Xenopus tropicalis: one gene and its partners. The protein of the gene in region 2 purifies or fractionates together with the protein of the main gene of each other region. This does not show direct contact. Links are inferred from orthologs where the notes say so. Each region holds a gene or a part of one and is shown on either strand. Other genes may lie near its edges.

Region 1 (10,300 bases), on a different chromosome or scaffold from region 2:
GGCAATGGCCTTACAGGACGATCCACCCTCCCTGTGGCTTTTTATAGGGGAGAGATCACCCTTCTATCATGTACAGACTAGTAGAACCTGGGGCCAGGGAATGTGAGTTTTAGCACATATGGCTACACCAGCCATTTCAAGCAGTTTTATACTTCTAATATTACCCTTTCAGATAAGCTGCTCTGTGGCTTGAGGGTTTCCTGAATATGCAGGTGGCGTCTCCAATGAGACTTCGCTTTGTATTTTGCTCTCTGTGCCCTTTTTGGATTTTAGCACTGTGCTGCCAGCCGGATGGAAGTGCTGTTTCACCTCAGCTTACCACAGCTCCCCCACTGGCAATTTATCAGGTGCTGTCAGCGATATGTCATGGTCCCACACCTTTAAAATCCCAAAAGCATCCTTGTATTTTTACACCTGGAGTGCATATGGCTGCCTAACCTTCTCCTATCTAGGAGATCAGCTTTCTCATTTAATTAAAAAGCAAAACAAAGAAATAGCCTTGCAACAGAGGTCCAGGCTCAACCACCTGTTCTGCCGGACAGGAAACAAAGTGCACAAAGGAGGTTTGCTTTCTTAGCAGCCTTCTATACTAAACATCATAGTAGATAATAGCCTCTGGGAAGGAACTGGGGCTGTGGGATAGCAGGTATAGTAGGGAGAGATGGTGCCTATAGTAGCAGTGGGGGGATAATAGCCTCTGGGAAGGGACTGGGGCTGTAGGATAGCATGTATAGTAGGGAGAGATGGTGCCTATAGAAGCAGTGGGGGGATAATAGCCTCTGGGAAGGGACTGGGGCTGTGGGATAGCAGGTATAGTAGGGAAAGATGGTGCCTATAGTAGCAGTGGGGGGATAATAGCCTCTGGGAAGGGACTGGGGCTGTGGGATAGCAGGTATAGTAGGGAGAGATGGTGCCTATAGTAGCAGTGGGGGGGATAATAGCCTCTGGGAAGGGACTGGGGCTGTGGGATAGCAGGTATATTAGGGAGAGATGGTGCCTATAGTAGCAGTGGGGGGATAATAGCCTCTGGGAAGGGACTGGGGCTGTGGGATAGCAGGTATAGTAGGGAGAGATGGTGCCTATAGTAGCAGTGGGATAATAGCCTCTGGGAAGGGACTGGGGCTGTGGGATAGCAGGTATAGTAGGGAGAGATGGTGCCTATAGTAGCAGTGGGGGGATAATAGCCTTTGGGAAGGGACTGGGGCTGTGGGATAGCAGGTATAGTAGGGAGAGATGGTGCCTATAGTAGCAGTGGGATAATAGCCTCTGGGAAGGGACTGGGGCTGTGGGATAGCAGGTATAGTAGGGAGAGATGGTGCCTATAGTAGCAGTGGGGGGGATAATAGCCTCTGGGAAGGGACTGGGGCTGTGGGATAGCAGGTATAGTAGGGAGAGATGGCAACAGAACTTCATATCAGGTTTGCCCAACCAGATGAGGGGCCACTGGGTGTAGTTCATCAGCACTGAAAGGCCACGTTAGTTTCAGTAAAAGGCAAGCCCCCATGTATTTGCTATGCTGTGGGCCCTACCAGCAGTGAGTATGAGGCAGTGTATATTCGGCCACTGATGGAAACCGTTCCAGGATAAATGACAGCTGGATGAGATTCCGGCAGGCAGTTGCATAACAGGCACAAATTCCAGGGAACTGATACCCAGAGCCAAGTCACTGGCAGGGTATAAATACACATTTCCTTTGTTTGTAAACAGCTATCCACTTACTTGTCCCCAGGTAGGTACTGACCCGGCACATGTGACATGTTACTTGTTCCAGCCTAATTACATAAAAATCCAAACCACTCCTTATTCCAGGAGCCTTTATTGCCCAGAGGGTATAAAGTGCACCATTAGCCATAGAGGGACCCAGAGAGGGGAAACTGGGCGGGGCTTAGATAAGGTGAGAGGGGGCCACCTGTTAGTGACATCATCACCGCGCTGAGAACGAGGCTCCCAGTGTTTATTCACTCTGCACTGATAAACACTGGCCACATAGCCATCTGCACAGGCTGTATTTATACACATTATATATATATTTACACACAGGGACTGACTCAGCCTGTCCTGATATCTACATTTAGAACACTGAACATTAAATAGCAAGCCAAGCCTGTCCTGTTACCTGCTGTACTGGCTATAAATGTAGCCCTGTCTGAGCCTGTCCTGATTACTTGCTTTATCAGCAGTCCTTGTACATTAAGTAATACAAACAGAATTGTTATACCTGTCCTGTTTATTTGCAGTCAGGCCATTGGCACATTAAATGGTAACTCAGGTCTGTTCTAGCCATTTTTGATAAATCCACAGCCAGCCTAGACTTAGCCTGTCCTGATATCAGCAGTTTGGTCACTGTACATTATACAGAAACACGGACGGGGCTGCCTGAGCCTGTCCTGATATCAGCAGTCTGGTCACTGTACATTAAACACAAACACTGGGCTGCCTGAGCCTGTCCTGATATCAGATGTCTGGTCACTGTACATTAAACATAAACACTGGGCTGCCTGAGCCTGTCCTGATATCAGATGTCTGGTCACTGTACATTAAACACAAACACTGGGCTGCCTGAGCCTGTCCTGATATCAGATGTCTGGTCACTGTACATTAAACACAAACACTGGGCTGCCTGAGCCTGTCCTGATATCAGCAGTCTGGTCACTGTACATTAAACATAAACACTGGGCTGCCTGAGCCTGTCCTGATATCAGGAGTCTGGTCACTGTACATTAAACACAAACACTGGGCTGCCTGAGCCTGTCCTGATATCAGCAGTCTGGTCACTGTACATTAAACATAAACACTGGGCTGCCTGAGCCTGTCCTGATATCAGGAGTCTGGTCACTGTACATTAAACATAAACACTGGGCTGCCTGAGCCTGTCCTGATATCAGGAGTCTGGTCACTGTACATTAAACATAAACACTGGGCTGCCTGAGCCTGTCCTGATATCAGGAGTCTGGTCACTGTACATTAAACATAAACACTGGGCTGCCTGAGCCTGTCCTGATATCAGGAGTCTGGTCACTGTACATTAAACATAAACACTGGGCTGCCTGAGCCTGTCCTGATATCAGGAGTCTGGTCACTGTACATTAAACATAAACACTGGGCTGCCTGAGCCTGTCCTGATATCAGGAGTCTGGTCACTGTACATTAAACACAAACACTGGGCTGCCTGAGCCTGTCCTGATATCAGCAGTCTGGTCACTGTACATTAAACATAAACACTGGGCTGCCTGAGCCTGTCCTGATATCAGCAGTCTGGTCACTGTACATTAAACACAAACACTGGGCTGCCTGAGCCTGTCCTGATATCAGGAGTCTGGTCACTGTACATTAAACACAAACACTGGGCTGCTTGTGCCTGTCCTGATATCAGGAGTCTGGTCACTGTACATTAAACATAAACACTGGGCTGCCTGAGCCTGTCCTGATATCAGGAGTCTGGTCACTGTACATTAAACACAAACACTGGGCTGCCTGAGCCTGTCCTGATATCAGGAGTCTGGTCACTGTACATTAAACACAAACACTGGGCTGCCTGAGCCTGTCCTGATATCAGGAGTCTGGTCACTGTACATTAAACACAAACACTGGGCTGCTTGTGCCTGTCCTGATATCAGGAGTCTGGTCACTGTACATTAAACACAAACACTGGGCTGCTTGTGCCTGTCCTGATATCAGGAGTCTGGTCACTGTACATTAAACACAAACACTGGGCTGCCTGAGCCTGTCCTGATATCAGCAGTCTGGTCACTGTACATTAAACACAAACACTGGGCTGCCTGAGCCTGTCCTGATATTAGATGTCTGGTCACTGTACATTAAACACAAACACTGGGCTGCCTGAGCCTGTCCTGATATCAGCAGTCTGGTCACTGTACATTAAACATAAACACTGGGCTGCCTGAGCCTGTCCTGATATCAGGAGTCTGGTCACTGTACATTAAACATAAACACTGGGCTGCCTGAGCCTGTCCTGATATCAGGAGTCTGGTCACTGTACATTAAACACAAACACTGGGCTGCCTGAGCCTGTCCTGATATCAGGAGTCTGGTCACTGTACATTAAACAGGAACAAGGGGCTGCCTGAGCCTGTCCTGATAATCATCAGCAATAATGAGATTATGTCCAACTAATAATAATAATAATAATAACAATAATATGTGCACCCCCTTTCCTACAGAACCCCTGCCCTGTTTGAGCCTGTCCCAATAAACTGCAGTCCCACCACTCACATTACAATATACGGGGCATTGCCTGTGGCACAGAGAGGGTGCCCCCCTTTCCTACAGAACCCCTGCCCTGTCTGGCCTGTCCCAATAAACTGCAGTCCCACCACTCACATTACAATATACAGGGCATGGCCTGTGGCACAGAGAGGGTGCCCCCCTTTCCTACAGAACCCCTGTCCTGTCTGGCCTGTCCCGATACTGAGACTGCTGCTAAGCAATGTGCCATACCCACAGCAAATGCTGATGAACAGGACAGGCCCGGGCAGAAGGAAAGCTGCCAGTTGTTGTTGAGGAAGGAGACTGGGATGTGCCAGATGGAAACATGTCCCGATAATGTGCAGGCAAAGCCAGTCAGTGAGCGGCAGGTGGGACAAAGCCCTATTGGGGGGAGGAGGGTACAATCCCCGCAGCCCCTAAACCTGTCCCGTTATTATGGGGCACTTTGGGCAAACACTACACTGGCTCCCCCGGTCTGGTGGCGACTGGCAGCCATAGCCACATTAGGATCGCAGCTGATCAGGACCGGTTTAACCCCCCCTGTTCCTTAGGGGCGCCTCCTCAGTGCCAGTATGGCCCCCAAGCCCCGCGGTGCCACCCTCACCCCCCCACAGTGGGCAAACACTCACCGAAGGTTCTCCTGTGCTTAAAGGGCCGCTCTGACGGCATCCTGAGGGGTGTGAGTCCCAGAAGCTAGCACTCAGCCCGACTCGCCCAGTCTCTCTCTGCCTTTGGCTTCTGTTCGCCCCTTTGTGCGTCTCTCCCCACTCTCGGCTGGCTCTGTGCGGATACAATGTAACAACATGACGTCACGGAGGCGCTCAGGCTCATATATGAGCAAAGGGTGCCCCCTGCTGGCCATTCTGCGTAACAGCACCCTGGCGCTTAAACGCCTATGTTACGGCTCCCTCCCTGCATTCTCCGCTCTGTTCCATACTAGGGGCAGCCACACTTACACTCAGTACTATACATTACACTCAGTACTATATAGCGTCTCATTAATAGCAAGAATATAACTACATAGCGCAATACAGGATAGTACATCGCATTGCCCACTCTCTTATTGGGTCATTATACTTTTAGCGCCCGTCGCCTCGTTAGCGCAGTAGGTAGCGCGTCAGTCTCATAATCTGAAGGTCGTGAGTTCGATCCTCACACGGGGCACAGTGTTTTCCTTCCAATCCAGTTGAAATAGCACTGGGTACGTTTCTAAAACGGTAAAATAAATTTTATGCCAAACAAGAGGCTTTCAGTGTATTCAGTAGGATGTTTATTAATGTGCCCCTGCAGCAGTTATACAGGGATGTAAATCCAATATAATATACTCCCATTGCCTTGGAATTGTATGGGCAGAAACAGTGGCATAGCTAAAAGTTACTAGCCATCAAAAAAAGCATTATATTATACATAGTTACATAGGGTTGAAAAAAGACCAGAGTCCATCAAGTTCAACCCTTCCAAGTAAACCCAGCACCCACAACCTATACTTACCAATCTATACACTCACATACATAAACTATATATACAACCAGTAATACTAACTGTAGATATTAGTATCACAATAGCCATGGATATTCTGATTGATCAAGAACTCATCCAGGCCCCTCTTATAGGCATTAACAGAGTCTGCCATTACCCCATCACTAGGAAGGGCATTCCCCAACCTCACTGCCCTCCCCGTGAAAAACCCCCTACACTGCTTCAAATGGAAGCTCTGTTCCTCTAATCTAAAGGGGGGGCCTCTGGTGTGTTGATTATGGCCCCCGTATACTTAATGCAGAGCTGAAACTAGGGATAGTGATCTATGGGGTAGGGAGAGACCGAAGGGCAGGGGGAGCAAGCAGGGGGGTAGTGGGCAGCCCAGGGTAGGCTGTGGACCAATGACAAATGTGGGGGATTGAAGTTGAATGGGGCAATCGCGGCACTGGGTTAAGTAATATTGCCTTGGGTGCCACTACTTCTTCGGTAGGGTCTGACTTTGGGTATAAGACATTTTTCATAAACATATATCGTCTGCAAATCAGTCAGTGCCCCACTAGGCCCCTATTCCTCTTGGGCCGTGGGCAGTTGCAAGGTTTGCTTCTTCTACAGGAACATTCCTGGGCCAAAAGCAGTGCAGGTCTAATAAAAATGTCTGCAAAGCACACAAGGGGTGCACAGGCCTGAAACCTGCAGGTTGGGTGGGTTTAGTTCAGTAACTGTACTTCTTGAGTGGGTTGTGGATTCCAAGGTGAAATTGAACTCAGGACCCCAGTGTTGCAAGGTGGAAATGCTGCCCTCTTATTGGTTGTTGGCAAAGGGAATCTGGAGCCTAGTTAAGACCAGAATTTCAATTGCACACTCCCTCCTACTGATTCAGCCTGAATGGGCATGGGCAGGTGTACCAATACAATGTAAGGGGGGGGCTGGCAAAGTATAATGATTCCGCTGCTTCCCCACCTTGTCAATGTGCCATGATTGCACTGCAGGGCCTGTGTATGAAGCAGCTCAGGAAACTATCCTTCTTAGCTTCTTACTAATGTGCTTGTAGGAATATGCCCCCCAAACCTGGCATATAGTTATTTTTGTGGTTACCTAAGGGCAGAGGGAGAATATAAGATATTTCAGCTAATGCCAAGCGACTGGGATTAGAATTCAAGTCTTGGTGGCATCAGAGAATGGCAAAATACATAAATGCATGAAAATAAAGTGACGTTGGTTGTGCTGCTTGGTTTGGGGCACACTGATTGGCCATTACCCTTAGGTGGATGCTCTCTGAGCAGGCATCAAATATTCATTGTGGGAAGCACAAAGCAACGGTGCATGAAAGTTCTATTTCCCACACGCTGCGAAGCTTTCTGCCAAAAAGACCCGAATCCAAGTAATGATTTTATACTGAACAGTGTGTGAGATATCTTAAAGGAAAAGGCAGGGAGGGCCTTTGTGCTGACCCCCTCTTCCCTGGGTTGGACTGGGGTGGATTAGCTCAGGGGGCCCCCCCACAGGGGCTGTGTTGCTTGGTGTGGGGGCAAACTGATTGGCCATTACTCTCCACTCCCCCGAGTGAGCATACCTAGGCATTATTGGGGGAGGAAGGTCCAGGCCCACCCCCAGTTTTTTGCCAGTGTCCTTGCCCCCACCTGTCTCCGAATTCCTCATGTAGACTATGATTTCTTTGGCACTAAATTGATCCTACTATATATTCGGGGTTATTATACATCAGTGCTGATCCCCCTCTGTGTGGCCCCCCACCTGTCTGGCTGCTTTGATGGCTTACCTTTGTGTTAGCTTTAAATGGTATCAGTACTGAGATTAACTGGCCCCCTGCATTGTTCACACCTCAGGCTCAGACTGTAAGCACCCACATTGTTCACCTGTTCACACCTCAGACTGTAGAAGCAGTGTCAGCATTGTGTCACTGTATGTACTGCCTGCCCTATGCTGCCTGTGTGTATGACACACATAGGCAGCATAGGGCAGGCAGAGTATGGCACACACAGGCAGCATAGGGCAGGCAGAGTATGGCACACACAGGCAGCATAGGGCAGGCAGAGTATGGCACACACAGGCAGCATAGGGCAGGCAGAGTATGGCACACACAGGCAGCAAAGGGCAGGCAGAGTATGGCACACACAGGCAGCATAGGGCAGGCAGAGTATGGCACACACAGGCAGCATAGGGCAGGCAGAGTATGGCACACACAGGCAGCATAGGGCAGGCAGAGTATGGCACTGAATAGATCCTACTATATGTTCGGGGGTATTATACATGAATGTAGCACTGAATTGATCCTACTATATGTTCGGGGGGTATTATGCGTGAATGTAGCACTGAATCGATCCTACTATATGTTCGGGGGTATTATAAGTGAATGTAGCACTGAATTGATCCTTCTATATGTTCGGGGGGGTATTATAAGTGAATGTAGCACTGAATTGATCCTTCTATATGTTCGGGGGTATTATAAGTGAATGTAAATGCACTGAATTGATCCTACTACATGCTTGGGGCGGATTATACATGAATGTGGTACTGCATTTATCATGCCATGTGTTCTGGGGGTGTATACATGAGAGAACAGGGGGACACCTATGGTTGGGGGGAAGGGGACCAAGTAGGATTCGCTACTCTGTGCCGGGCCCCTGTGAAGATTCTTTTATAGGTGGGAGGGTGGCACAGAGTAGTGACGCCACTGTTCCTTAATAAAGTAGAACTGCAGTTTAACAAAGGATTAGTCTTCAAATGCTTAACATTACAGTATATTATGAGCTTTATTACCAGCCCTTTAGTAGGGAAATCTGAGGCTCCAAATATGCCCCCTGTAGCTCCCCATATCTTCTGCTGATTTAGTATCTATATAAATTAACTAAAAGTCATGACACACAGATAACTAGTTAATTTATTGAGATAAACCACATTACACGGCAGCTCAGTAATCAGTGCATTCTGTATCATAAATGTAATAAGCAGCCCAGTAGCATCAGCTTTATATAATATGAACATCATATTCTGCTTGACGATTTTTGGTGACCCCTAAGCAGCCCAGAGCCAACTGAGCATGTGCAGTGCCACTGACACTCAAGAGACGGCCAACTTCAAAGGCCTGGATCATTACTGGTATAGGGCTGCAGGTACAGTAAAATGTAAAACTGCTGGGGGAATGCTCCATTATAGATAGCTACAGTCTCTGTCAGCTTTGTAAGAAAGAAAGTAGCCTTAACCATGTGATTATACTTTCCTCTGATTGGATACTTTTTCCAAAATGTAACTTAACCTTTTTTCCCCTAAACAACTCTTCTTTTCTAAATACAACTCATAGTTTTAGCAAAATACAAGCTCTTGGGTAGCACGCGGGCCAGTAACCCTCTGCCCACTCTCAGCATGGGGGGCTCCAACAAAGACAGAAGAGAATATCATCGCAGTTATTTGAAGGGAGTTTAATAACAAATGAATAAGGGGTTCAGTTCATAGTGTACATGGGAAAGTAATAAAACAATTGTACAAGGCTGGATTAGCACATATAACCAAGGAATACTTTTCATCTTGGATGATGGGGCGGCCCAGGAAACCTCGCCGCCAATGGACTTGCGTTAAATAGGGAAAACGTGCTGGAATTGGGTTTATTCAGTCGGCTGCTGAATCACAATAAGGAAATAGTCTTTATCTGACAAAGAAAAGAGATTGAGAAAAGTCAGTGAAGAACATGAAATTCAAACCAAACTAAAAAGGAACATTTAATATTTCAATAATCTGAACCTTCTTCTGTTTCTATTCAGCCTTACTCCGACCTGGAGTTAATAGTGCTGGTAACTAGGCTCACTGACCCAGGGCATCCAGAAAGCCGACACTAGATATCACACCAATATTTGTATTAAATCTCTCTATAGTTACGCTTGTTTATATTCCATTCTCACATGAAAATTATTGGCAACGCCCACTGCTTAAGTCACTAAGGTACATATTCATTCTTGTGCTGTGACCAATTAATAATTCATCGGCAATAAGCACTCAGCCAAAATTCAAATCAAAAAAACTTTCACCCCTTAGCTCATAACAAGGTTACAGATATATAGAAACATTGGGGTAACAGTCACCCTGCTATAGTTCCAGGGGTACCCAGGGCACAAATGAGCACTCACCCCAAATCCCCCCCTAACTGGCCTTCAGGCTGGGCCCCCTTAGCCCATAACAAGGTTACAGATATATAGAAACATTGGGGTAACAGTCACCCTGCTATAGTTCCAGGGGTACCCAGGGCACAAATAAGCACTCACCCCAAATCCCCCCTAACTGGCTTTCAGGCTGGGCCCCCTTAGCTCATAACAAGGTTACAGAAATATAGAAACATTGGGGTAACAGTCACCCTGCTATAGTTCCAGGGGTACCCAGGGCACAAATAAGCACTCACCCCAAATCCCCCCCTAACTGGCCTTCAGGCTGGGCCCCCTTAGCCCATAACAAGGTTACAGAAATATAGAAACATTGGGGTAACAGTCACCCTGCTATAGTTCCAGGGGTACCCAGGGCACAAATAAGCACTCACCCCAAATCCCCCCCTAACTGGCCTTCAGGCTGGGCCCCCTTAGCCCATAAC
Region 2 (10,400 bases):
CTATTTTCATTTAGGGTTCAGTACATACCGCAGACTTTGGTATATCTATGCATATTGGGCATCAAACTGTTCAGTAGACCTCTGGTGTTCCTTTTTGGGGTGATTTGTCTTTATCTGATCTTTATTAAGAAATTGTGAGAGATAAATGCGGCAAATTGCAACATTTTTATGCGATTTTCGAAATGTCATATAAATCTGCAAACTTAGGAAAGCTTTACAGCTTGGTACTTTGTAGCAATAAGAAATATTTACCCATAGATTCGGGGGGATGTGTATTTTCCAAAAATATATGGCTTTCTGGGGTGAATGTACTTTTTTTGTAGCATTATCCCACATAAAGGATGTAAATGTGTTGATTTTGCAGGAGCTGAAATGATAGATCATATGGGGGTATGTTCCCATTGGGGCCCCTACATGCCACATACTTAGGTAAACCTATACATATTGGGCATCAAACTGTTCAGTGGACCCCTGGCGTTCAAATTTAGGGTGTTTTATCTTGGTACCTAACACTATGTGGGAGATAAGATGCTGCAAAGTGGAAGCTTTGAGGGGATTTTTGGAAATGTCATCAAAATTGCTAACTTTAGAAAAGCTGTGCGGCTTGGTACTTTGGAGTAGAAAGACATGGGTACCCATTTTAGATTCGGAGGAATGTGTACTTTCCAAAAATATATGACTTTCTGGGGTGAGCGTACTTTTTTGTAGCTTTATCCCACATATAATAATGTAAATGTGTTGATTCTGCAGGAGCTGAAATGACAGAAATGACAGTTCATATGGGGGTATGTTCACATTGGGGCCCCTACATGCCACATACTTAGGTAAACCTATACATATTGGGCATCAAACTGTTCAGTGGACCCCTGGCGTTCAAATTCAGGGTGTTTTATCTTGGTACCTAATGCTATATGGGAGATAAGATGCTTCAAAGTGGAAGCTTTGAGGGGATTTTTGGAAATGTCATCAGAATTGCTAACTTTAGAAAAGCTGTGCGGCTTGGTACTTTGGAGTAGAAAGACATGGGTACCCATTTTAGATTCGGGGGAATGTGTACTTTCCAAAAATATATGACTTTCTGGGGTGAGCGTACTTTTTACTAGCTTTATCCCACATATAATGATGTAAATGTGTTGATTTTGCAGAAGCTGAAATGACAGAAATGACAGTTCATATGGGGTATGTTCACATTGGGGCCCCTACATGCCACATACTTAGGTAAACCTATACATATTGGGCATCAAACTGTTCAGTGGACCCCTGGCGTTCAAATTCAGGGTGTTTTATCTTGGTACCTAATGCTATGTGGGAGATAAGATGCTTCAAAGTGGAAGCTTTGAGGGGATTTTTGGAAATGTCATCAAAATTGCTAACTTTAGAAAAGCTGTGCGGCTTGGTACTTTGGAGTAGAAAGACATGGGTACCCATTTTAGATTCGGGGGAATGTGTACTTTCCAAAAATATATGACTTTCTGGGGTGAGCGTACTTTTTACTAGCTTCATCCCACATATAATGATGTAAATGTGTTGATTTTGCAGAAGCTGAAATGACAGAAATGACAGTTCATATGGGGTATGTTCACATTGGGGCCCCTACATGGCACATACTTAGGTAAACCTATACATATTGGGCATCAAACTGTTCAGTGGACCCCTGGCGTTCAAATTCAGGGTGTTTTATCTTGGTACCTAATGCTATGTGGGAGATAAGATGCTTCAAAGTGGAAGCTTTGAGGGGATTTCTGGAAATGTCATCAAAATTGCTAACTTTAGAAAAGCTGTGCGGCTTGGTACTTTGGAGTAGAAAGACATGGGTACCCATTTTAGATTCGGGGGAATGTGTACTTTCCAAAAATATATGACTTTCTGGGGTGAGCATACTTTTTACTAGCTTTATCCCACATATAATGATGTAAATGTGTTGATTTTGCAGGAGCTGAAATGACAGAAATGACAGTTCATATGGGGTATGTTCACATTGGGGCCCCTACATGCCACATACTTAGGTAAACCTATACATATTGGGCATCAAACTGTTCAGTGGACCCCAGGCATTCATATTTAGGGTGTTTTATTTGGTTACTTTATGACCTGTAGGAGATAAGATACTATAGACTGGAAGCTTTGAAGCGATTTTTAAAAAAAATCACAAATTTTGATAAAAACCAATAACTTTAGGAAAGCATTGCGACTTGATAGTTTGGAGTAGACAGACAGTTGTGCCTATTCTGTATTCCCCAGAATCTGTTCTTTCCAAAAATGTACAATTTTCTGGGATTAACCTTCTGTTAGTGGAATTTTGGCCTTGAAATCCAAAGTATGCAGTTTTTTTGGAGCAGTGCTTTGGGAATTTGGTAGTGTACTGCTGGGAGTTTTTGACCTATACAAGTGAGAAATCTCCATAAAACTATATATATTTGGTATTGGCACGTTCAGGAGACATGGGACTTTCCAAATCAGTTGTATATTCGTGCATAAAATAATTTTTGTTTCTAGTATGTGTGATTATATTATGGAAAATTTGTTTTTTTTTGCATTTTTAGACATTTAGAAGCCTATATCTTGTTACAGAATTGGAATTACACAAAAATTCTACCATATTTTGAAAGCTTAGGTTGTTCTGAAAAAAACGATATATTGTTTTCCTTGGTAAACTAAAAGTCCCCCCGAGGAAAGGCCCCTAAAGTGAAACAGTGCAAAATGTTCAAAAACTGTCTGGCAATACAAGTTCCGCTTTGACCAAAATGGCTGGCAGTAAAAGGGTTAAGAAGGATAATAATAAACTTGAGAGAGTGAAGAGATGTACACCTAAAGTGGCAAAAGGGAGGATTAAACTATGAGTCACGGGAAAATATTTTTTTTTTTGTGTTGGGGGGGGGGGGGGGGTAAGCAGGTAAAAGTGTTATGTGTATATGTGTGCACTAGGGCTTGTTTGAAAGGGTTGAGCTTGATGGGCTTTTTTTAACAGTGGCATAACTATCTATATACCCCGCGGTCACAGCAGGGCCCAGCCCCCCTGCCCAGCCTCTTTTCTACCTTAAAAATGGCTGCATGGTGTCGGATGAGAGGTGCGGTGCAAGTAAGCCGGGGGGGGGGAATATTTGAGGGAGCCTGGAGCGACCAAGTTACACTACTGCTAACTATGTATACAGTATTACAGAATTCTGTAGTCTACACTGCAGTATAGATAGGAGAAGCCACAAGTTTTGTAACTGTGGTTATATTTCTACCAATACACATGAGATTCTTTATATACAGGAAATGTCAACATGCAATATTTTTGTATCCTTGGTCTGTTGGCAGCTTTTATCATCCCTTGTATGGACATCTTAACATTAGTAAATGGGGCCTACAGTTTTTTTTAATAAAAACAAAAGTTTTGCAAAGCAATCAGCTGAATTTTAGAACTTAATATTCTTTAAGGAAATAGCTTATTGCTATTCTTCATTTGTTTTTGTTTATGAACTAGGATACAGTACTCCTGAAACCAGGAGTTGTTATTATGAAAGTGTTTGAAATGGGTGTTGTCTAATCACTCCACAAGATAATGTGCCAGCAGGCTGGGACTGAAGCACAGCCCATGAGATCCATGGCTCGCTCAGCTCTATTTATAACAGCCAATCATTGCTCTCATGCTGTCTGCTCCATTCAAGACAAGCTGACACACACAGGAAGAACATAAACACAGACTCGGAGCTCACATAGCTTGCTCAGACTGTCTCAGCTCTCCTTACAGTCGCGGCCAAGTTCAAAAGACACATCTGTACTTGGATTACTTTTTTGGCACAAACAATTTTTGGAGAAGGCAGAAATGCCTGAAGGAGAAGATTCAGATCCACATGGAAGGTACTGGAAAGTAAATGTGCCTTGCTAGGAAAGTGTTCTTTTGGGTTGATTTCAGTGATATACACATTTGTAAAATTTGTCATGAATTACTGTTTGCATTTGTTGCTTCTGTTTGTATAACATTGTGTTCATTTGCCCTCTGTTGTTCATTGCTAATTAAACTGTTATAACTGATATAAATAGCATAAATATCTTTCTCTTTTCATAGTTTTTGTCCCAATAACATACTCATTTTCCTAAGAAGTTGTTAGTATATTTGTACAAAGGCCCCCCTGTGGTGGTCATCAGCATTCCCTCACAGGGTGCATTCCAGTCAGTCAGCAGTGGCATGAGAGTCAGTCACATTCAGCTCTGACCGCCAAAGGGCATCTGTTGGACTAACAATAGAATTTAGTTTTTTTTTTGTGTACAGTGATTAATTTTTTGCATTGTCTTAAGGTTAGATGTTATATTAATACTCTCTTCAGTATGCCCAGTATGATGATATCTAGAAAATAAATAGGAATTAAGCCATTAATATTCTTCTATTCAGGCATTCTCCTATTTATATTACAATGTCTCATTCAAAGCACTGCATGGTTGCTAGGGTAAATTGGAGCACAGCAACCAGATAGCTGCTAAATGCCATACTGATAAGCTGTTAAACACAATCTGATTAATTCAAAAACAAAAAAAAATTTAAAAACTGCAAATAGCCTCAGAACAATACTGCCAACAAAATGCAAAAAGTTAATTTAAAGGCAAACTACCCCTTTTAAGTAATATTTCATGACAATGAATATGTTGCTTTTGGTGGCCTGTTGTAAGTTTCCTATTAAAAAGTAACAACCAGGACTTCAGCAAATTCTGCTTTCAATAGCAATTACATTTACACCTAACTTTTAAAGCGCTAATAATTTTTAATAATTGAAATTGGAATTATGTTTTCTTTTATTAGGCAAAACAATTATTTTTGGGGTTGACATGTCCTTTAAGGTTATGGCCTAAAAATGCACCTTGGAAGATAGATGCAACCTTATGTCATGTTTGCTGTGATTCTGGTCTATAATTGAAAGCAATCTTCAACTGTTCCTGGTACTTTGTTCTTAGGAAAAGTCTCTGCAACTAAATGACCCATAAGGCATTAGACTATGTATGGAAATGTCAGGGCCTTATGGTCTTTACAGGGTTGAAGTCAGGATCAGGGAGGAAGCTGAGTTCAGAAAATTATACGCCGTATCCATGGGGTAAAGCAAGTCTCTTAGTCAAATTCAGGCTAAAAATTGTGGCAAGTAAGAACAAAGCTGAAAGAAACGTGTAGATTGAGCCAAAACAGTAATTTAATGCACCAAGGAACTTTACAATGAAAGATATATATTGAGGCATTGAATCCGGGTCTTTGGTGTCCTTTCGGTTTGAATTTTCACGCCAAAGTGGCATGTGATGACATCATGCAGCAACAGTGTGACAATGTGACATTGTGGCCATGGGCACTGCCTTCTTTGGAAGGAGGCAGAGTGCTTCTAACCAGAGAACTCCTGACAGGGCATCCCCTGGCACACTCCTAGTTAGCATGATTTAGAATCTTGCTTCCTTATTATTGCTTATTTGTGCCCCTAGACCAGCTCATATCATCATCATCATTTTTTTTTATAATACAGAAGTCATGAATCTCTCTCCTATTTAATGAATGGTGCTTAGTGGTGTAATTTATCACATGACACACTGAAACTTGTGCATTAGAATATGTAATGTACTCTCTGTTGTAAAATATGAGGAGTCAGTTCGAGAGCTGCTCCTGCCATGAGGCAAGGTAAGAACTTTCACCCAGCTATCAGCACAAGAGCCACAATATAAATTTTTGCACTCTACATGGGCTTGGCACAATTTACATCCTTCTTTTAGCCCTTAATATATTAGCCTGCATGTATTTATGCGCACATTCAGCTTCATGCCTAAATTATATGCTATGTATATGCCTGCTATATAAATAATGGTATATACATAAAGAACAATAAATACTAATATGGGACAGTTCAGGGTTGAATTTTCAAATTCATCTTATCATTTATCATTTAAGGAATTTTTTAACATGTCCAAAAAGGTTCCCAAATGAATCTATTTAATATAAAGTATTGTTTTCTAAAGGCAATATCTAATAGCACCAGTAATTTTTTCTCAGGGGGAACAGCAATTGATTGAAAACCTCAATTTAGGAGATGTGGGGTTATGAAGATTTGAGCAAGTATTGTAGGGTTATGAACACTTGAGCAAGTATTGTGAGTATTAGTGTAATGCAAGTCATTCAGTAGGATGCTGACAGGTTGCCCTGTGCCATGCTCTGGATTTTAAATCCTGCCCAAGATACATCTGGAGCAGATACTCCAGATGCAAGTTCTTTAGTAAGTCTAGTGAGGATCATCATAGCTAAACCAGAATATAACCCAGGGGTGGGCAAACTACGGCCGCGGGCCACATCCGGCCCCTTGGCCTTTTTAATCCGGCCCGCCGCCGACGCCAAGTCTCATCACGCGAGACTGGAATTAAAGAGATGAAGGGGGTGTAACGCTGGCCTGGCCCTGCCCGCCCTGGCCCGGTCCGGCACGGGGGTAAGTAAATGTGGCCCGTGAGCCAAAAAGTTTGCCCACCCCTGATATAACCTATGGTACACATGGCATTTGATGTTATTATTTTTCTGTTACTGAGAATGCCACAGGTTGCTTGAACCCACCTCTTATTGCAGTGAATAGGAAGTTAATGGGAAATTGCTTATAGTCTGTATTTTTATTCAAATCCATTGTAATTGGAGGCAATTTCAAACAAGTCATGCAATTGTAACCAAGATTTTATTTCCAATTGCACTTAATAAGAATAATATATTAACTTATTAAGGATTACATCCTTGAAGCAGTGTTTCGACTTAATAAGCCACTCTCTTTGTGCAGTAGTTCATGTTTACTTAACCACTTATCTTTTAAGTATGGCTTCCCTGCTGTCTCCTTCTTGTGGTTTTTCTTGTTTCTTTTTGTATCCATTTCATTAGAAAAATAATGTTGATTGTGTATGTCTACTGTAGGACTGTGTAACTGCTCAGTCTGTAATTTTGTAAATATGGGAGCAGCTGTGGTTGAAGTGGTATGATTTATTTACCTTTCAAAACATTTAACCACTTACATTTACCTTTTTGTGTGAACAGTTTGCCACTGTCTGTTATTGCAGTACCAATAAACCAACAGACATGTAAATTATAAAAACAGATACTTTCCCATCTCTTGAAAACTTTCATAGAGTTCTCACAAAAAATGTATATTACCTGTGTATGTCATCTCCTGATTGTTGTTGTAGCAAATTAGATGAAAGCAAGATGACAAGCATGTATAATGGCAATTGTACATGGCTCATTCCAATCCTCTTGGCACCTGAGCAATTAGTAGCTCTGTAGCTGTGATTGTCAAATTCTTTGAGTTCAAGTCCCCATGAAGGTCCAACCAGTTAGCTTATGAAACTGGTACATGTTTGAAAAATGTTGGTGTATTGGTCATTCAGCCATAGTTTGGGTGAAGTTATTCACCCCAAATTTCAGCCTAACTGTCCTTCAAGCTGGGCCTTCAGGTGTAAGTAGTAAGTTCTAAAGGCTATTTTCCCTAGTTCTCATCCTAATTGGTGTGTCCCTCACAACCCCAAGTGCCACTGTTCTTAGGGGGCTCTAAGAGATTGAAGTTGAAGCTCAGTCTACCTGAGAGGAACTTCCTTGCTTTCTTCTTTGTTGTATAGGATTTGTTGGTGCAAATTTACAAAGGGTGAAAATGTAGTACATGATGGCGAGGTTAGTTTTCATCTTTGTCTCTGTCTCTGATCCAACATATAACAGGAAGGAAAATAATTAGTATACCTGCCTTTATTAATTCTTAACTGCACATAGCAAGGCAAAACAATCATATCAGGTTTATCCCGCTATCCCAGCACAGGGGGAGGGGCCTCAGGTTTATTATCCATGGTTTAAATTCCACAAATATCTATCCTGTGGCATAACAAAACATTACAGACGCTCAGAGCAAAGCATTTTTATGTTCTTCCAAACAGCAAATTACTTGATTTAAAAAGATAAATACAAGTTGCTCAATAGTTAGGGCTCATGTTCCCCCCCAACAGCCCTTAGACCCCAGCTGTCGCTATGCCAACGTTCTCTGTTGTTACATGCCTGTATATATATATATATATATATATATTAGAGCTGGGCGGTATGACCAAAAATTTATATCACGGTATTTTTCAAAATTATATCGGTATCACGGTATTTGACGGTATATAAATAAATAATAAATATTGGTGGCCAGGGCCCCTAAATAGTTTGCTGGCACCCCCCCCATACATAAAAATTGGTGGCCACCCATCCCCCCCACCCTCCACCCTATACATAAATAGAAATTGCTGGCCACCCATACCACTACCCCACCCCCCAAGACCGTGCCAATAAATTGCAAGGTGGCCAGGCAGGCACCGCCATAAAATACGCAGGATTGCAGGCCAGGCACCCCCGAAGACAGCGCCCCCCCCATGCACATTGGTGTTCAGTGGAACTTACCGAACTTGAGGTTCCTCCAGCGATGCGTCCGATCGATGCGTCCTAGCGATGGCACTTTTGTAGAGCGCTGACGTCGCGTGCGCGCTGACGTCACAACCCGGATATACTTAGAAAAAAATTGCAGGAGGCGCGCACACCGGTATTGGGGTATGTTGAAAATTAATATCATTTTTTTAAAAAAAAAACGGTATTTGGTTTAAAACAGTATACCGCCCAGCACTAATATATATATATATATATATATATATATATATGCAATTTTGGCACCCTTTTGGGTTTAAAAAGCGTTTGCATTACACATTGGTGTTGTTGTCCCTGATGAAAGTTCCAGTTGGAACTGAAACGTCGGATTGAATAAAACCTCACTTCTACATTTATCTGATGTCTCCAGTGTGAAATGCCGTCATTTTCTCTGTCTATATATATATATATATATATCTCATATATTAATAAATGTAAAAAAAATATACATTTACCAAACATAGTTACATAGTTAGTTACATAGTTACATAGGGTTGAAAAAAGACCTGTGTCCATCAAGTTCAACCCATCCAAGTAAACCCAGCACACCTAACCCACACCTACCAATCTATACACTCACATACATAAACTATAAATACAACCACTAGTACTAACTGTAGATATTAGTATCACAATAGCCTTGGATATTCTGATTGATCAAGAACTCATCCAGGCCCCTCTTCAAGGCATTAACAGAATCTGCCATTACCACATCACTAGGAAGGGCATTCCACAGCCTTACTGCCCTCACCGTGAAAAACCACCCACGCTGCTTCAAATGGAAACTCCTTTCCTCTAATCTAAAGGGGTGACCTCTGGTGCGTTGATTGTTTTTATGGGAAAAAAGAGCATCCCCCAACTGCCTATAATCCCCTCTAATGTACTTGTACAGAGTAATCATGTCCCCTCGCAAGCGCCTCTTTTCCAGAGAAAACAACCCCAACCTCGACAGTCTCACCTCATAGTTTAAATCTTCCATCCCCTTAACCAGTTTAGTTGCACGTCTCTGCACTCTCTCCAGCTCATTAATATCCTTCTTAAGGACTGGAGCCCAAAACTGCACTGCATACTCAAGGTGAGGCCTTACCAGGGACCTATAAAGGGGCAAAATTATGTTCTCATCCCTTGAGTCAATGCCCTTTTTTATACAAGACAGCACTTTATTTGCTTTAGTAGCCACAGAATGACACTGCCTGGCATTAGACAACTTGTTATCAACAAAAACCCCTAGATCCTTCTCCATTAAGGATACCCCCAACACACTACCATTCAGTAGATAGTTTGCGTTTATATTATTTCTACCAAAGTGCATAACTTTGCACTTATCAACATTGAACCTCATTTTCCAGTTTGCTGCCCAGTTATCTAATTTTGTCAAATCGCTCTGCAAAGCGGCAGCATCCTGCATGGAACTTATAGTTTTGCACAATTTAGTGTCATCAGCAAAAATAGAAACAGTACTGTCTATGCCCACCTCCAGGTCATTAATAAACAAGTTAAACAGCAAAGGCCCAAGGACTGACCCCTGCGGTACTCCACTAACCACACTGGTCCAATTAGAAAATGTTCCATTTACAACCACTCTTTGTACTCTATCCTTCAGCCAGTTCTCTATCCAATTACAAATATTATGTTCTAGGACACTGTAATGTCCTGGACAAATATATTGTTTGCCTGAACCCGAACTCCATTGAGTTACAAAAGTTAGATAAAGTAGACCACAAGGTATAATGTAACATAAGATCATCAGTAGTGTTCATATAAGTGTCATGAGCTGATCATTCTGGTGAATGTTTGTTACTAGGAAAATAAAGAACAGAGACATGTGACACCTAATAAGCTACTGTTTGGATGCTCTGTTTATTTTTGCTTCTACTCCAGACCAGCCCCCTCTCCTGAATTTAAAAAAGGAAATGTAATATACTGGAAAGAGTAGCAAGAACATGGCTTGATGCCCTTCCTGGCATTT
Region 3 (10,212 bases), on a different chromosome or scaffold from region 2:
CAAGAGCCGCGGGCGACGAAACAAGAGCCGCGCGACGAAACAAGAGCCGCGCGACGAAACAAGAGCCGCGCGCGACGAAACAATAGCCGCGCGACAAAATAATAGCCGCGGGCGACAATTTTTTTTGTCGCACGACATTTTCGCCGTTTCGTGAATTTTTCGCCGTTTCGCGGATCTTTTCAAAGATTCGCGAATTTTTCGGCGAAGCGAAACGGAACAGATTCGCTCATCACTAATAATGTTGAAACAGTACTTGGCACATTATAGTCATGTCAAAAACGGGACCTAAAGTCACAACAGTCCTAGTTATTCAGCATAAACATTAATTATATAAATGAAAACAAAAATAGAGCATTTTTAAGGCAAAAATAAAGAATAACTGTACAGAAATAGGTTATTCTACAAAAATAGATGTAAATCAAAATCCCTATTTAACCCATATGGAGCTAAAGAATTTAAACGATGAATCCATTCTACCTCAGTTTTCTTGAGGATTTTAACACGGTCTCCACCCCTTCCAGGGGCAGGGACATGTTGTATTACCCGATATCTAAGATCATCAGCTGTATGTCCCAGTTCTAAACAATGTCTAGATACTGGGAGAATTCTATTACCAGTATTCACTGTCGATCTATGTTGTGAAAACCTGTCCTTAACTTTCTGAATAGTCTCTCCAATATAAATTAAATTACATGGACAGACAAGCATATATACCACAAAATTGGTGTCACATGTATGATGTCCCCGTATTTTATATGATCTCCCTGTATGGGGGTCAGTAAATCGTGGCCCCACCAAAACAAAACGGCATTGGGTGCAACCTTTACATTTGTACATACCTTCTCTAGGTGGACCTAAGAAAGTAAATTTTCTCGGTACAGGGGAAACCTCCGCCCTTATTAATTTACCACCTATTGTATGGCCCCTACGATATGACATCATAGGAGCCTGTTGGAATGTTTCAGTTGTAGGATATGATTCCCTTAACAAATGCCAGTGTTTCTGAAGGATAGATTGAATCCGACCACTTTGCGCATGATATTGAGAAACAAACGTCATACGTTGTGTAGTTTTGCCTTTATTAGGTTGACTAATCCCTTTATTTCTGTTCACTTTAGAAAAACCTTCCTGAAGGACATGTTTAGGATAACCCCTGCTTGTTAGTTTTTTATCCATTTTGTTCAGATCCTCTTTAACAATAACTGGGTCATTAGCTATTCTGCAGACCCGTGAAAATTGGCTAATGGGAATAGATTTTTTAACCGATACAGGATGAAAACTATCAAACCTCAACAACTGATTCCGATCAGTGGGTTTTGTATAAATTCGTGTGAGGAATTTTTGTTCACTTCTACTAACCTCAACATCCAAAAAGACTATTTTGTGGCTATCTGCTGTCATTGTAAATTTAATGTCCGGATGGGCCCTATTTATCTGATCACGGAAGACGGACAGGGACTCCAGGTCACCCCGCCATAGGAGGAACACGTCATCGATATACCTCCACCACGCAAAACAATGTGTAGTGAAAAGTACATTACGATAGACGTGTTCCTCCTCAAACCAACTCATAAATGAGTTGGCATAGGCTGGGGCGACCTTGGAGCCCATGGCCGTCCCCCGTATCTGCAGATAAAACCGTCCCGAAATTTAAAGACATTTTTATACAAAATAAAGGTAAGAATATCCACAAAAAAATTAATCTCCATTTCAGTGTATTGTCCACTTTTTATCAGAAGTGTCTTTACCGCCATAATCCCTTCAATATGAGGTATAGATGTATATAGACTGGTAACATCAAAAGTTACCAGCCATACTTCATCAGCCAATTCATTTATATTAGATAGTTTTTGTAAAAAATCATGAGTATCTCTTATATATGAGCGTGTCTTCTGAACTAAAGGACTAAGTATCTTATCCAGGACCTCAGCTATATTGCTGGTAAGTGAGCCCACCCCAGCCACTATAGGTCTACCTGGTGGATTAATGGGGTCCTTATGTATTTTAGGAAGTACATAAATTACAGGTATAATGGGAAAGTCTATCCACATATATTGTGACGTTGACATAGTAATAACATTAGATAGTACTGCATGCTTTAATAAGTGATCCAGCTCCGTTTAAAGGATTCCGTTGGATCACCTTTCAATGGGATATAAACTCCAAGGTCCCCCAAGTGACGTTCAATCTCAGCAATATATTTGTTCGTGTCCATAACAACTATCGCCCCTCCTTTATCTGAAGGTTTGATAGTTATGCTGGACATCGATTTAAGCTCGGTTATTGTCTCAATTTCAGCTTTAGACATATTATATGGGCCCTTATGGGCACTATGTTCAATATCAGACTCAACCTCAGACCGAACTTTTTGAATATACATTTCTACTGCCGGATATGTTGTGGGGGGGACAAAATGGCTACGTGATCTTAAGCCAACCTTGCTAATATCAAAACCACATTCGGTATTTTCAGCTTCATTATATGTCATATTATGAGTGAAATGTACTTTGAGTCTTAATGCTCGAAAAAAACGATACAAATCCACCTGTAACTGAAAAGAATCTAACTGTGATGTAGGACAAAAGTTTAAGCCCCGTTCTAACACCTGTATTTGTAATGGCGTTAGTTCAACTGAAGAAAGGTTAAATACTATCTGTTGCGAACTTTCCGTTGCGGTTGTTGTCTCCGATCCTTTCGCCGTGACTTCCCGATTTCTTCTGGAGCATTTATATATATATATATATATATAGAAAATACAGAATGTCGGCACTCACAGGATTTTCACGAAAAATAGTCACTAGCAGTCAGTCATGTTTTAGAGATGCAATGTGCTTCCCTGACGAAGGTTCCAGTAGGGAACTGAAACGTTGGATTAATAAACTCCACTTGATTGCATCTCTAAAACATGACTGACTGCTAGTGACTATTTTTCGTGAAAATCCTGTGAGTGCCGACATTCTGTATTTTCTATTCCATGTCTGCTGCTCTGGCACCCAGGTAGTGCATTTTAACTTTGGTGTGCTCTTCATTCTGCATTTTGTATATATATATATATATAAATAAATGATAGAAAAAGATATAGTGCTTGGGGAAAGGCAGAACTAAAAAGCTTCAACATACAACAACAAATTACATTTTAGGTGAACTTCCCCTTTAAAGTCAGAATGCCTGGAAGTCTGCATCATCAAATACGAGAGGGAGACAATTTACTTATGCATCCTATACTATAGCTGCGTAGGTATAAAAAAATTATAGTTTACACCAGACTGCCTTAATAAATATAGTGATATATTATAAATATATCGATAATTTGTATGCATAATGGTTGATTTGTTATATTAGTACATGAGAATCCTGTCACTCCAAATAAATGTTTTTCATAAAGGAGAATAATAAATCTACAATGATGTAATTATGTTGAACACAGGAGGGGAATGTGTAAAACAAGCAGGCAGTGACTTATCATGCCCAATAAATAACATGTATATATATATATAATATATACTGGCATCTGTAGCATAATAACGGCCTGGACTGCAGCAGCCAAGTACTGAAAGGGTTAACTACAGCGCAAGCAAACACCTCCCCTCTCATTGCAGTGCAGGCAGTAGAGGAGGAAAGGCCCGGGTTGCCCTGTAGCACCTATTTGCCAGTAACACACACTAGTCACACAGACTGCAGTCTCCATCAGCTGGTGGTGCCACTGAGATATGCCTACTGGGCACCATTAATATGGTATGTACAGACGGGCACAAAAGGAAGAGACATAAGGGGAGGAGGCAGAGCATATTGTATGTTACGGTGTCCGGTGCTGCCGTATGTAAGTGCAAGTACAGCAGCTCTATGGCTTAAATAACTATATGGATATTTTAGTTGCCCTTTACAACACTACCATATTTACCCCCATATGTAATAAAAGGCACTACGTTTGCCCGGGAGCAGTAACCCATGGCAACCAATAAGATGTTTGCTTTTAAACACATGACCAGTAAACTCAACCTCCTGGTTGCTATTACTGCTCCTGGGGAAACTTAGTGCCTTGTATAACATATGGGGGATAGATTACTAATTAGCCCTGCAATCTCTTCTATAATGTATAAATATTAACATTTTATAGAATCCACATTAAAGCTCTTGGTTATATGAAAGATACAAATATAAGGATATTATAAGTCACTTTGACCATATAAAAACACAAGGCCAAAGACATCATTAAGCACTGTTTATAAGGATATATGTTAAAGGAAACTCATGGTTCTTGTGTATTACAAGGATATTAACAGTTACATATGAGACCCATAGCCATATAAACGCACAAGGACACAGGCTGAGCACTTTTATACAGGTCAGGGAACTCAAAATTGTAAGACAAGTCACCGCGGGGGCTCTGCACCCCCCCCCCAAGGGACCTCCACCATGGTCCCCATCACCCTCGGGCCCCTGCTGCCCACCCAACCCCCTCCCCCACGCGTGCATACTTAGGCACATTGGGAGAGGGGGACCTGCGGGCCTCGGAGAGCCCAGCAGGGATCAGTTCTGGGCCAGTGGGGCCCACCACGTTTTTGTCCTGCCAGCCCAGTCCGACCCTGCATGTAACACAAATGACATCACTGAGCACCGTTTATAACTAATGACATCACTAAGCACTGTTTATAAGGATATCAGTTACAAGATATTCATAGCTCTTGTGAATAACAGTTTATGACCAGGGGACCGGACAATAACGTAATTATTATATACAGGGGGGGAGCAGGAGAAGGTCTGTCCCTGATGACTAGTATTACTAATGTATTTACCCTGGGAGAAGAAGACAAACATGGGCATTGTAGAAAGGCCTATGCCTCCCCACCTTGAGATAAATCCTTCTTAGGGTGAAGACACACAGAACTACTAGTAGCAGCTACTTGTCTTGGCTACTAAATTAGACAATGCTGATCATTTAATGAGCCGTGAAAAAGTAGCTGCTACTAGTAGCTCCGAGTGTGTATAGTCGCTTGCAAGGCAGGACAAGGCTCTGCAGCCAGAGTATGTATGTATGTATGTATAACTTTATTTATAAAGCGCCACAAGGGTACGCAGCGCTGTAAAATCTTACAATATACACAATTACACACAGGGAGGACAAGTGATATAATAAATAAATACAATATATATATATATATATATATATAAGTGCCATGTGGTATGAGACACAGTGGGAAGGAGGTCCCTGCCCCGTAGAGCTTACATAAGTGACAGTACATGGTTCTGCAAGCTCTGCGGTTAGGGAAAGTGACAGTCAATAAGTAACTAGACAGGACAATGTTCTGCACCAAGGGAAAGTGACATGCAGGACTCGCACTGCTGGGACTGATATAATGAGGAGCTGTAGCCTGGGAGGGGGGTATAAAGCTACAGATCTATAGCAGGGGGGGGGGGGCAGTGTATGAGCCAAGGAAAAGGCAGCAGGTGACAGTCAGTGGCTCTGCAGTGGGGGCAGCTGACAGCCAATGGCTTTGCAGCAGTGGCAGTGACAGTCCATAGCAACAGACAGTACATGTTTCAGTGGCAGCAGAAGGTGACAGACCAGGAATCGGAGGAGGGGCAGGTGACAATGAGTGGCTTTCTTTCTTACAGATGTCTCTAACAATGACTGCGGCCCATAGGAAGTCTGGCAGAGAGCACAAAGCTCCCTACCGAAGGAACAGCACAACTACAAAGCTCTGTGCCGTCAGCAGAAAGCCAAGGAATTAAAGGGGAACTCCACCCAAAACCTGTTTTACGCACACTGATAGCAAATGTCATTCTAAGCAGCTTTCCAATGTACATTCCATTTTAATGGTTTGTACTTAGTGTAATTGCCGTTGAAATTAACATTAATTTCTCCCTTTCTGCCGCTTCCTTTCCAGAGTTGAAACAATGTAGCAGAAGTCCTGCCCGCCCAGGGGCTGCTACATTGTTCCATTGTCACAGGAGGAGTTCAGAGAATAGGAACAGACGGTACTTCCCATAGCAATGACATCGAACACCGAAATACTATAACAAATGTACATGGGAAAGTCGCTTGGAATTACATTGTCTTTCATTGTGCAATAAGCAGTTTTTGGGTCGGAATTCACTCTAAGGGAACCCATATCTGTGCTGACAGGGGGACATTAGGGTGCTGTACAGATGCAGTGTGGGTAGGACAGGGATACAAGGGATACAGAGTGGGTAGGACAGGGATACAAGGGATACAGAGTGGGTAGGACAGGGATACAAGGGATACAGCGTGGGTAGGACAGGGATACAAGGGATACAGCGTGGGTAGGACAGGGATACAAGGGATACAGCGTGGGTAGGACAGGGATACAAGGGATACAGAGTGGGTAGGACAGGGATACAAGGGATACAGAGTGGGTAGGACAGGGATACAAGGGATACAGCGTGGGTAGGACAGGGATACAAGGGATACAGTGTGGGTAGGACAGGGATACAAGGGATACAGAGTGGGTAGGACAGGGATACAAGGGATACAGTGTGGGTAGGACAGGGATACAAGGGATACAGAGTGGGTAGGACAGGGATACAAGGGATACAGTGTAGGTAGGACAGGGATACAGTGTGGGTAGGAGAGAGATACAAGGGATACAAGGGATGGAGAGTGGGATCCATAGGGAGATGACACAGCTCTGCTGTCCCTACTTACAGGCACCCTATCCGGGTATTTCTTTCTGATCTTCTCGCCCTCCTTCTTCCTGTATTCGAAAGGATGATCCTCCTTATACTGGAATTTCATGGCTGCCCCAGGAGATAGTGTATATACAGTATATAAATGTATATATCAGTCAGCTGATGCCCCTCGCTGTCTACTGCTCAGCAGATGCAATAACAAGCTATGTTACAGTGTACTGAGCAAGGGCAATGTGACATCACTAAGCCCCGCCCCTGGGCAGTACCAGCAGAACAAAACAAAGGGGGATGCTGAAATTAACCTTCTCTCTGCCAGACAGGACAAATGAAAAATAAACAGTCTCAGTTTAAAGAACCCTATAGCTCGCAGGCGCTGAAATCATATTCCAGGGTTTTTAGGGTGGGGGTTAGTGGGAAGGGTGCAGGCCAGGATGAGATATAGTAAATAGGCAGTGGCACAGGGCATGGCAAGTGATTGACACGCAAACCTGTTTGTCTGAGTCACCTGTTTATTCTCTGTGGATCACGTGAAAGCCAGAGTCACAAGGCAAGGTGACACAACAGTACAGCACTGCGGTACATAACACTATTAACCTGCGACTGGCCAGGGACCTGGGCCTCATTATTAACCTGCGTCAGAGAGCGGCCAAAGTCCCTGTATAACCACTTCCGGCCATTGATCTGTAGCCCATAATCTATTCCCTGGCGCCGAGCCACACTTTCACTTATACCAGCGCTTCTCAACCTGTGGGTCGGGACCCCTTTGGGGGTCGAACAACCCTTTCACAGGGGTCGCCTAAGAACATCAGAAAACACATATTTCTGATGGTGTTAGGAATAATTTTATGGTTGGGGGTCACCACAACATGAGGAAGGTTGAGAACCACTGACTTATACCCTTTCTGCACTGCTGGTTCTGACTGTCGTAACAAAATAACAGAAGCCGACTGATTAGCAGACCTGGAGGAGAACTGACTCCTGCTACATTGTTTCAGAACCAGAGAACAGGAAAAGATAAACCAGCGGTTCTCAACCTGTGGGTCGGGACCCCTTTGGGGGTCGAAGGACCCTTTCACAGGGGTTAGGAATCATTTTATGGTTGGGGGTCACCACAACATGAGGAACTGTATTAAAGGGTCGCGGCATTATGACGGTTAAGAACCACTGACTTATACCTTTTCTGCACTGCTGGTTCTGACTGTGGTAACACAATAACAGAAGCCGACTGATTAGCAGACCTGGAGGAGAACTGACTCCTGCTACATTGTTTCAAGAGTCAGAACCAGAGAACAGAAAGAGATAAACAAACACAGCTTTTAGCTGAAATTTCCTTTACAAATAACTTGAAAATCACAGAATGTGCACTGGAAATTTGGATTGTTTTTCATTATGCAAAAAACTATTTTAGGGGTGGAAATCCCCTTTAACTTCCTCTCTGTGACAGAAGTCTTAAAGGGGTAGCTCTTAGCAAACTTTCAAATTGTCTTCATTTTTTATTTCTTATAGTTTTTTAATTATTTCTCCTCTTCTGCCTCTCTCCAGCTTTCAAATGGGGGTCACTGACCCCGGCAGCCAAAAACTATTGCTCTGTAAGGCTACAGTTGTATTGTTATTGTTACTTTTTATTACTTGTCTTTTATTCAGGACCCTTTCCCATTCAAATTCCCGTCTCTCGTTCAAATCACTGCCTGGTTGCTATGTTAATTTGGACCTTAGCAACCAGATAGCTACTGAAATTCCAAACTGGGAAGTTGCTGGACATAAAAGTAAAATACATAAAAAAACATAAATGATAAAAAATAAAGACCAATTGCAGATTGTCTTAGAATATTGCCTTCCACATCATACTAAACCCATTAAAGCCTACTAAACAATAATTTAAACATTAGTAGGATTGTTTTGCCTCCCGTAATTCATAGCTTTCAGGAAAATGGGTTTCTGGATAATGGATCCCATACCTTGTACCCATCCAATCCTGGGTCCACAAATCATGTCAAAATCTCATACTCCTCCTGTAGACTAGATAGTAGGTTCCCATACAACGGGCTGGCTTATTTGTTGTTCTGAAATAATATAACTGACATGAATATAATTCAGAAGAGCAAATAAACCAGCCATACTGTATATGAACCTACTTTCTAGACTGTATCCCCCATATGTAATAAAAGGCACTACTGTTGCCCAGTAACCGTAACCCATAGCAATCAATAAGAGCTTTTAAACAGGTGACCAGTAAATTCTACCAACTGATTGCTAGCTCCTGGGCCAATATAGTGCCTTACATTACATAATCCCATATATACTGTATATATATATATGGTGAAACAAAAGGTGTTTATTCAAAACAACATCTAAAATATATATATATATATATATATATATATATATATATATATATATATATGTATACGACATTGAAGAGGACAAGAATACTATATAAAAAATTCTAGATCTAGATGTTTGTGAATTGCGTTTGTCAGTAGTTACAGGGCCATTCATAATTGGTAAAATAAAGCTTTTGACTGAATGGGTTAACATCAGCCCAACAATAAAAAGGAGCCCCTCCCCTCTCATTGCAGTGCAGGCAGGGGCGGAGCAAAGGGCTCACCTCTCTCATTTGCTAACAAGGACACCAGAGATACAGGCTGGGAATGTACAGAGGAGGGAATGCAGACAAATATCCCCATCTGCCAGTTTCCTCCATGCAAACACATACGTAACATAACTGCCCTCTTCTCCAACAGGACTGCCTACAATGCTCACATGATTTATGGGTATTTAACCCTTTGCTGTCAGTAGCTGCTGAGAGATGTGCTCCAACAACAGCTGTAGGGCCCAGATATAACAGTTTAATGCCACTATCTTATCCAGTTCTTTCCATTTTGCCTTCTATCCCCCTTCTCTTCCTATCTGCTACTGCTGCTCTGCAGGGCTCGGGGTACTTGGCTCTAACTGCCACCTTTTCCTTTAAAAAACAAACCCTGCAAAATGGAAAGATGTCTATATATCCCTGCAGTGATGACTACACTTTCCATCAATCGAGCATTTGCTGAACCAGTCAATAATCAGCCCTGCAGCATGTGTATTGTATAGGAGCCCAGATTTAAAGGTGTCAGAAGCAAATGGGGCTTGAACTTCTGAAATCACAGAAAATTACACAAACTAATCTCCATCATTTTGAAACATGGAACATTTTCTGGCTTGGTTGGTTTTTCCATCGCTGCAGCATTCCCTACCTAGTACCCATGACAGGCTGGCATATAGGCTATTATTCAATGCAGGCAGTTTGCAGAACAGGCACTGAGAATTTCTCACAGCAAAACTGAATTACATCCATGCATTGGTCATTTTATTGAAATAATTCCCTAGTACAGCTGGCAGTTACGACACAGTAATTTCCTATAGGCTGTAAGACAATTCATCAGCTGCAGCGTCTTGGCACAGAAGGAGGTACAAAATATATGTTATTTCATTAGCTGTGCTTATGGAGCCAATAACTCAGGCGCTGAGAGAATATTGCTATTTACTATATACTAGCACGTTGGTATATGGATACGGAAC

Evidence for each region.
Region 1: the proteins of retreg1 (region 2) and map1lc3a purify together in Homo sapiens (affinity purification with western blotting; 3 studies listed by BioGRID and IntAct, with this or other methods). This does not show direct contact. The link is inferred for Xenopus tropicalis from reciprocal best matches to the Homo sapiens genes RETREG1 and MAP1LC3A.
Region 3: the proteins of retreg1 (region 2) and gabarapl1 purify together in Homo sapiens (affinity purification with western blotting; 3 studies listed by BioGRID and IntAct, with this or other methods). This does not show direct contact. The link is inferred for Xenopus tropicalis from reciprocal best matches to the Homo sapiens genes RETREG1 and GABARAPL1.

What each region holds. Positions count from the first base shown.
Region 1 is NC_030686.2:41,176,342-41,186,641, forward strand, and holds the start of map1lc3a (microtubule-associated proteins 1A/1B light chain 3A), read right to left. Parts: upstream 4,955-10,300; 5' UTR 4,897-4,954; coding exon 4,857-4,896; intron 1-4,856. Other genes in the region: dynlrb1 (dynein light chain roadblock-type 1), read right to left, coding at 9,327-9,370. UniProt on the Homo sapiens protein: Ubiquitin-like modifier involved in formation of autophagosomal vacuoles (autophagosomes). While LC3s are involved in elongation of the phagophore membrane, the GABARAP/GATE-16 subfamily is essential for a later stage in autophagosome maturation.
Region 2 is NC_030682.2:79,277,112-79,287,511, forward strand, and holds the start of retreg1 (reticulophagy receptor FAM134B), read left to right. Parts: upstream 1-3,694; 5' UTR 3,695-3,811; coding exon 3,812-3,846; intron 3,847-5,842; exon of another isoform or gene 5,843-7,677; intron 7,678-8,410; exon of another isoform or gene 8,411-8,451; intron 8,452-10,400. UniProt on the Homo sapiens protein: Endoplasmic reticulum (ER)-anchored autophagy regulator which mediates ER delivery into lysosomes through sequestration into autophagosomes.
Region 3 is NC_030683.2:18,814,207-18,824,418, forward strand, and holds the start of gabarapl1 (gamma-aminobutyric acid receptor-associated protein-like 1), read right to left. Parts: upstream 6,841-10,212; 5' UTR 6,758-6,840; coding exon 6,668-6,757; intron 1-6,667. UniProt on the Homo sapiens protein: Ubiquitin-like modifier that increases cell-surface expression of kappa-type opioid receptor through facilitating anterograde intracellular trafficking of the receptor. Involved in formation of autophagosomal vacuoles.